Nothobranchius furzeri: one gene and its partner. The protein of the gene in region 2 purifies or fractionates together with the protein of the main gene of each other region. This does not show direct contact. Links are inferred from orthologs where the notes say so. Each region holds a gene or a part of one and is shown on either strand. Other genes may lie near its edges.

The links.
Region 1: the proteins of c11h1orf35 (region 2) and RNA-binding protein with serine-rich domain 1 purify together in Homo sapiens (co-immunoprecipitation; 3 studies listed by BioGRID and IntAct, with this or other methods). This does not show direct contact. The link is inferred for Nothobranchius furzeri from reciprocal best matches to the Homo sapiens genes C1orf35 and RNPS1.

Annotation. Positions count from the first base shown.
Region 1 is NC_091752.1:58,150,635-58,154,932, reverse strand, and holds RNA-binding protein with serine-rich domain 1, read right to left. Parts: upstream 3,092-4,298; 5' UTR 2,970-3,091; coding exon 2,968-2,969; intron 2,066-2,967; coding exon 1,916-2,065; intron 1,820-1,915; coding exon 1,640-1,819; intron 1,561-1,639; coding exon 1,455-1,560; intron 1,153-1,454; coding exon 999-1,152; intron 902-998; coding exon 760-901; intron 686-759; coding exon 580-685; 3' UTR 291-579; downstream 1-290. UniProt on the Homo sapiens protein: Part of pre- and post-splicing multiprotein mRNP complexes. Auxiliary component of the splicing-dependent multiprotein exon junction complex (EJC) deposited at splice junction on mRNAs.
Region 2 is NC_091751.1:49,802,599-49,807,117, forward strand, and holds the start of c11h1orf35 (multiple myeloma tumor-associated protein 2), read right to left. Parts: upstream 3,058-4,519; 5' UTR 2,993-3,057; coding exon 2,836-2,992; exon of another isoform or gene 2,817-2,835; intron 599-2,816; coding exon 448-598; intron 360-447; coding exon 314-359; intron 235-313; coding exon 152-234; intron 1-151.

The DNA of each region.
Region 1 (4,298 bases), on a different chromosome or scaffold from region 2:
TGCACTTTGCTCACTGCCATTGTGGCTTTCTAGTGTCCGTCTTTCTGAGAACGAACGCATCTCCTCATAGTGAACTGAACATGAAACATTTGTACTCGAGTGACAAAACCTTAGGTAAGATGTACAATTAGTGTCATAAATAAGAGATAGTCTCTCATAGTAATGAGATGCCATTGTAGTTTCTATGCAAGTTCACAAATAGAAAGATCGATGTAAAATATGAACTTTTATTTAACAGTAAGTCACCTTAGAGCTGCTGAGACAAGAAGTTTAACTTGAACATTCAGAAATTCTGTTTCTGCATCTTTATTTTTTAAAAGTTAAAAGGACGTAATACAAGGTAAAAGGAAACAAAATGTTTGTAGATCCCGGTAGAGGCAACATAAAACTAAGCTAACTTTTCTGAATCAACTTAGCACAAAATTTAAGAAAAAATCAAATGGAACAGAAGCACTCTTGCTATGACCACACATACAGCGTAGATGATGGCATTTCTACTGAGTCAAAGGAGTCTGAGAAAACGAGGGTTGTAGCTGATCAGCATCACAGCGTAGAAAACCACATGACATCTGAATGAGTTTATCTGGAGGAGTTGGAGCTGGAGCGAGAGCGATGGCGCCGGCGACCAGGAGACCTGGAGCGGGAACGGCGACGTGCCGGGGATCGTCTCCTTGGAGAACGAGACCTGAAACAACAAAAACGGCATTATTACCTGTACACGTGTGTGTGTTTATGGCTGAAACTGTCTGTAGGCGATACCTCCTCCTCATGCGTGGTGGGCTGCGCCGCCACATAGGAGGTGGTGGGGGCATTCTGCGAGGAGGAGACAGTCTGCGAGGTGGTAGACGGATCCGTTGAGGCAGAACAGCAGCGGCTGTGATTTCCTGTCCGTCAATCTGACCTGTTTTTATAATAGTCATAAAAAATAATCAACACACAGAAAAGACCCCCAGTGTTCCTGAGACCCAGAGGCTGTTAAATTGAACATGCACACCAACCTCCGTCCATGTGTTTAAGGGCCTTCTGTGCCTCCTCAGGGGTCTCAAACTCCACATAAGCATGGCCCTTGCTCAGGTGTGGGTGCATCCTATCCATCTGCATGTCAATCATTTTGATTTTTCCATAAGTGGAAAAGATCTCCTGGATGTGATCCTGGTACAACAGAAATAGAAAGGTCAGATATTCTCTCAACTTTGACACAAAATTATCTTGATGCCAAACAAATAAAACAAACTCTTTATTTTCTCCTTTTTGTTTTGAGCAGAGCATTGCTGATGACTAACACACCCGATGCACACAAGAAAATCTTCTCAGATTTTATCTTTAATTACTACACATTAAGGATGTGCGTGGCTGTTCTTGTGCACTTACATAACCTTGAGATTGCATCATAGTCTCAAATAAAAGCAGACATGATGAGAAAGAGAAAGCAGATGTTCTTCATTTAAGCTAACCTTGGTAACGTTTCTGGTCAGCCTTCCTAAGTGAACCTTAGTGGGTTTGACAATCGGGCTTCGTTTCCTTCGCTCTTTGTCCTCTCCTCTCTTCTGTGTTTTAGACCTGAAAAATCAGAAAGCAGTAAATAAATAACTAGAAACCAAAAGTCATCGTAAACACTGAGACACGAACAAAGACTTACGGTGATCGGGAGCGCCGGCGGTTGTCATGGCGCCTGCGGCTGGGGCTCGGCGAGCCAGAGGAGCTGGAGGAGGATGACGATCGAGAGCTGGACGATCCAGATCGACTGGTGCCAGAAGAGCTGGATCCACTCGAGGAACCTGAGCTAGAACCAGAGCTGCTGCTGGATGATGAGCTAGATCTGGATCCGGTCACAATCAGAACAAATGAAATGGTTTGTTAGGAATTTTTAGCACAGATTTCTCTAGTGATATAACAAATGAGAAGGAACTCAGACCTGCTGCTGCTGCTGCTTCCAGAAGAGGCACTACGACGTTTCCTTACTTTGTCCCGTCCTCTCTCTTTGTCTCCTTCCTTGGTGGCAGTCTTCTCTTTGCCCCTATCTTTAGATTTTTCTTCCTCCTTCCTTTTCGTAGGAGATGGTGCCCTAAAGTGATGTAAACATCTGTTAGTTTAGTTGTTTTACACAAATGGATTTAACAAATCTAAGAGCTACAAATTGTGGGAATGTTCAAATTCATGCAGAATTCAAATCTGGGTCTAATCTGTAATCTCAACAAGCTGAAAATGAAACCCAAAAAGTGTATTTTGTGTTTTCTGTCAGTTAAAATGAAACACAAAGCAACATTTTAACTGTTGTGTTTAATCTTTAATGCTAAGGAATATTTCTTTAGTGTGATGCACTACCATTACTGTGGAATTACCACAGAACGCTAAGTTGTTATTCCAGCTGTTAAAACAACAGACTAGTCAATAAACTTCTGTCTCTTTGTTTAGAATAATTAAACCCCAGTAGGTTTATTTCCTTTTGTGCAACAAAGATTTTTATAATTTTATTTTCTTGAACATTTATCAAAACTACACTGATGTCTCAATTTTAAAATAAATCCCTTAATGTAAAAGCAACTGATAAAAAAAACTAATAACGTTTTTCTCCTAATATTACACAACTTATCTGGCACCAAAAATTCAAGCCGTAAGCTAGCTGAAAGAGACTAAACACGATATACATGATTTATAACTGAAATAAATAAAAACAATCCACATCACACATAGTTTAGGGAGCACCAAATGTCTGCTGGAAATCGTAAACATTTGTTATGTTATTATAGGAAAAAGCAGCACTCAGGCAGAAATCCGCCGCCAACGAGTTTCATTCAGCCCGCTGCCTCTAAACAAGGAGAGCTCCGACCATGCCGTTAACCGATCACTCAGCTCTTCACGCAACAAGCACACGACGGTAAAACACGCCTGGGTTTTCAGAGTTGATTAACTAAGCATCACAACTAAAAACGGACAGTTTTAAGCCAGGAAAGAGCTCAAACCTACATTTTTTATGGACGATGTAGCTCTGCTTCCACCACTTGCGGCCTGTTCGCTTGTCGACGGTTGATGACGCCAGCGGAAGTTGCGTTCCTGCTTGAGCGCCACTTACAACTCATTTGTTTATTTTACGACGTTGACGGTGAAATATCAGCTTGCATTTCCGACATCTCTGTAGAAACACAGACGGACGCGCTTTTGGATATGAAATGAGTTTGTCAAGTTTGAAACGGTGGTGGGGCTTCGCTGTTGTTGACAGAGAGAGAGAGGTACATTAATGACAGATGTTGTTGACAGCTAGCTCAGCTAGCATCTGTTTTCCTGTAGATATGTGTCCAATGTTGACATGTAGATGCGGTTTGAGCTGTTGCGTTGCTGTAGCGCATTACGCGTTAGGACAGTGTTAACAGCTGTCTTTAAGAAGACACAGATCACAGCCATTGACGGACTGCATCAATAAATTCATATTAATCTGTTTTCATTGAGAATGGAAGTTTTGGGGCTTGGTTTGTGTTTTGAAACGTTCACCGTTTGGATTTCTTTTTTAAGGATTCCGGAGTAAAAAGGTGAAATGATCATGCATCATGCCTGTAATTTCACCATGGTTTAACCAGGATTTATTAAGTGAGCTCATATCCACATGCGTGAAACAGCCTCATGCTTGTTTTATAAAAGATTAATTATTTGGTCTCCTGATTACTGGAGTTGATTATTTGTACCTTTCAAATAACCATGTTTAACTGAGGCATTAATGGTCCATCTATTTTCAAGAAACTCCTGAAGACCCTGCTCTTCAGAGAACATCTTCTAAACTAGCACCCTCCCTGCACCCATCCCCTCTCTACTGTCCACTCCTTGTTCTCCATGATTCATCATGCTGCCTCACTGCCACCAACTGACTGGAAATTGTTTGTTGTTGTTACTGTTGTTGTTAGCCTCAAGGGCAACATGCTGATTATCACTTGTAAGTCACTTTGGAATCCAAAGTTTGGACTAAAGCGTCTGCAAAATACATAAACATCTATCTATTTAAATGGATGATTAAAAAATATTTAACCTGAGGTTTTGTTGCAGCCATGTGACTGGATGCTACATACGGTATGTTGATTATACATGTTCATTTCTGAATCAAGTGTGAGCTGAAAGTAGATTTTTATTTGCAGAAACATTATTTCATTTAAAAAAACTTCACTTTTCCTAAAATCTGGTTTCAATACCTGCACAGCCCTAAAACCTACATTTATGTCCCATTCACTTGTGCTTGAGATCATGAAGTAAAACGTGTGTGTAGATATGCTGATGAAGGTTCTCAGTCATCCAGGTCATGGTAACCCAAA
Region 2 (4,519 bases):
TGAAAATGAAAAAAAAACACTTTCTTTTCACAGCTTTTTTACAATAACATGCAGATAAATACATTTGAAATATATGTAAGGATTTACTCTATAATAACTGCTGAAACACTATTTTAAACATAATAGTTTCATATGATGATAAAGTGATAACCTGGAGCTTCCCAAGCCAGAAATACGATCCACGTTCCTCTCCTCACCATCCACCTCATCCCTCCTACAGACCTCAACAAGGTCCTGAAAAAAATAAAATCAAAATGAATTCATTTTTAATCACGTTAAAATGTTTAAAGATGTTCTCCATTTTGTCACATACCTCTTTGGTAAGGCCAGTTGGTTGTCTCTTTATACTCTTGTGTCCTCTAGATGAGAATTTAAAACATAAATAAATATTTTTATGATCTGAACTTCATAGATACCAACATGTATTTGAAGAGGAGTTCCACGTACAAGGCAGCCATCATCGCCTCGTGTTCTGCTGCCTTCACAGAAGCAAGTTCATCTGCCTTGGACAAAGCTTTCCCAGTCTTTTTGTCTTTAGCGTACCATGTCAGATCTTTCCCCTTTTGCCACCGTCCTACTGGTGCCTTTAAAGAGTTTCCTGGAACAAAAGGAGAATGTGCGTACAAGGAAAAAAGACTAAATCTGCAATCCAGTTTCGCTTGCATTATACCAACGTTTCTAACTCTAACCCCTACTTCACACTGGAAGAATAAGCGGCACAGAACAGCACTGCTTCAAAATAGAATCCATTAAAGTCTATGGGGGTGATTCAAACCAGCCGTGCCGCTGAAGATCAGGTTCTATTTTTGCCGTGGACCGATTCTGGGACACGTCATTTACGAAGTTAACATAGGGCTAGACAGGCTAGACACGGTTTCAGTGTAAAATGCCCGGGTAATTTTCAAAATGAAAGACTATTGCAGCAATGTCATTTCCCATATATGTAGATTACGTCAACAAATGTGAACTAACAGCTTTTTTACTCCCAGCATCGTTCCAGAAGTGCAGCGGTGTGTTTTTCATGGGTTTAATCCTGGCAGTGGAGAGAAACAGCATCATCTATGACATCAAACATGATTTACTTCTTTTTGGATTAATAGCAGATGGTATAAACAAACCGTGATCTTTGAAGTAGGGCTCGACCGATATGCTTTTTTTGGGGCCAATACCGATATAAAACTTTTAACAAAGGCCGATAGCCGATATAATGGCTGATAAATGTCCCTCATTCTCTGCCTTTTTGATACAAACTTATTTCTCTGTTACACACCAAAGAACTGTCTCAATAACTCACTAGGGTTTCCAAGTAATGCAAATAAGATTTATTAAGCAGATCTCAAAAACAACAGAACACACAAACTCAGTCACAGCATAAATCATTTGTGTTCAAAGTAGTGGAGCCACACAACATGAGTTCATAAAGCTGGTGCCATCTGCTGGATCGGTAGCACAATATCGGCCATATCGGCCATCTTTTTGGCCGATAGCCTATAGTGTTAATGACCCCAATATCGGACGATAATATCGGCCGGGCGATATATCGGTCGGGCCTTGCTTTGAAGTCTTGAGGGATTTTGTGATCTTGCAAGTTAAAGAGACAATGTGTAGTTTTTATCATTAATCTCTGGAAATATCCATCAAAATGTTGAACATGAATTAAATGAGGCCCAGTTGTTGAAAAATATTGGCGGCTTCTTAACATAACCATAAAAATCTGGTCTAAAATACATGGAAGAGGATCAAAGTCTCACGGTGACGCCATACTAGATGCTGTGTTTCCTTCTACAGGAGCCCTTGAGGACAAAATACATTACTGATTTGTAACAACTGTTGCAAAACTTTCACCATTCATAAACGTTGTTTTACACATTTACCTCTTCACTTGTTGCCACTGATGAAAGGGAGCCTGATGTGCTGCATTTTACTGAAGTTTGCACTCCCCAGGGCTTTTTGACCCTAATGGGCATCCATTATTAAAGTCTTACTCCAACACAAAAATACAGCTTCCTTGCAACAATTTAGGTATCTACTGCCCCCTATCACCAGGAAAAATACACACTGTCACTTTAAGCGAGGCAGAGAAGCCGGTCCATGGCTGAGATTCTCCCAGTGTGTACTGGCACGCAGCGAAAGTAAACCGTTCCGCACTGCTGATGCCTCCAGTGTGAAATAGGGGTAACCTTTCATTTCTGCTCATACTGAACCAGGATCCTCTGGATGTTTCTTCCTCTTAAAAGGGAGTTTTCCTCTCCACTGTCGCTACATGCTTGCTTAGTATGAAGATTGCTGCAAAGACACTGACACAAGTCAGTGACTTGATGCAATCTGCTGGAAACTTTTTACTGACTGGCTTAATGAACTGAACTGTATTGGAATGTTAACTTTGTGAGACGAGTCTTCTCTTGATTTGGCACTATTTAATAACCTGAATTGAATTATTTACTGAATAAACTTAGGAGTGGCATAATGTTAAATATTAAACATTTCACTTGTAAACATTTATGCAGTCTTTGAAACACTTAAGATCTGGTCTGGTAGTCTTGTCTTCATGCATGACCATGAAAATCTTTTAAAGGTTCATATCTAATAAGGAAAAATGTGTGCAGCATCTCTTAGAGAAACTCCACATTTGTAGCTTAGCATCCATGAGTTCTTTATCAGACAATGTTAACATCAACAACTGTCAAGATGGACCTGAACCCCAAAACACAACATTCCAAACAGAAATGTGACTTTTGATCCCATTTGGGTCACATTTGCGCTGACTGCTACGTAGCTCGTGTCTGGCATGCTGACTAGCTAGTTGGCAGCGCTCAGGGGGAGCGGAGAGCCTACCTGCTTTCTGTTCAGGGTTCAGAGGTGGAAAAGAAAGTAGGGTCCTGCTGTGTGTAAAGTAGAAAGTAAGACGCCATAAAAACCATCCAAGATCTGTGTAATGAGGGACTCCAATACAAAAGGTATGGGAAGACGCCTGTGGGGCCAAAGTGTGCATTTTAACACGATTTGAACTATCTCGCTCAGTTGCTTGCTTGCTCGCCCACTCTGGCTAGCACTGATAGCGCAGCTAGACGCACGTACTTACCGAGATAATTTTCTCTGTGTTTATCGACTTTCACGTCATCCCAGTTAAACTGATCCTGGCCTCCTCGTAAGCCTCCGGATCTCGAAGAACCAAACATTTCTGCAGTTTGAGTCGAAGATTTGGGAGAAATGTTTCGCACCGTTAGCAGCTAACGTTAGCCGCAGGAGCTGCGCGATTAGGCAGGCCTTCAGCGTGCGCTCATCCGGGGAATTGTTTGGTGAGTTTTATGGCAAGCAACTGTAGCATATATTCAAACCAAACTTTTTTTTCTCTTTTCTTTAGAAATGCCTGCTTTTTTTCCTTTTAGGGGAATTTTGTTCTTATTAGTCAAACTATTCATTACAATTATCTGAAATACTTAGCTAAGTATTTGTATTTTAATGCCCCTTCAAAGGAAATTCTATACAGAGAAATGTGTTAAGGATCTCTGAAACTCAGTCCACACTGTAAATGATAAATGCCTATTTAATTTTTTTGATTACTCCTTTATTGTCATTATAATAATTGAAGGTAGTCCCACATACCAAGCCAACTTGCACCGCAAATAGGGTTACGTCATATCGATGTAGATAAACATGGTACATTTTGATAAAGACACATTTAAGGTGCAAAAACATAGCACAAGAAGGTAGCAAAGACAGATAAAGCATTTTCTAAAAATGCATTTCATAAAATTGTGCTAAATAAATGAAAGAAGATGCAAACTTTTTCATTTTGTCTCATCATATCATGTTCTCATTAGAAATCCTAATTTTAACTGCCATTTGTAAAAAAACTGTTGCTGCCCTTCTTTTCTCTTCATGTAATTTGGATTTAACTTGTCTTAATGGAAGTTTTTAATGTTTTTGTACATATTTAAATTTATTTTAGATATTTTAATAATCTCCAACGTTTACTTGAGTAGTACGCAGCCGAGTGCAGACAGGATGATAATCAGCTCTTCCAAATCTGAGACCATGGTTTTGAGTCAAAAAAGGGTAGAATGCCTTCTCCAGGTCAGGGACTAGGTCCTGCCTCAAGTGGAGATGTTTAGGTATATAAGGGTGTTGTACTAGTAATGCAGCCTGTTGTGGTGTAAAGAGAGAGATGAGCTGGAAGACTGGTCCATGTACATTCCGACCCTCATCTATAGTATGGTCACAAGCTTTGGGTATTGACCGAAGGAAAGAGGTTGCAGACACAAGTGGCCAAAATGACGTTTTCTCCACAGGATGTCCAGAATTTTCCTTAGAAATAGGGTGAGAAGCTCAGTCATCTGGGAGGGAATCAGAGTAGATCTGGTTAGGATGCCTCCTGAACTCTGGTGATGTTTTCCAGACACATCCAACAAGGAGGAGACTTAAAGGGAGACCCAGGACAGGCTGGGAGGACTGTTTCTCAGCTGTCCTGGGAACACCTTGGGATTCCCCCTGAGGAGCTGTCCCAAGTCATGTGGAA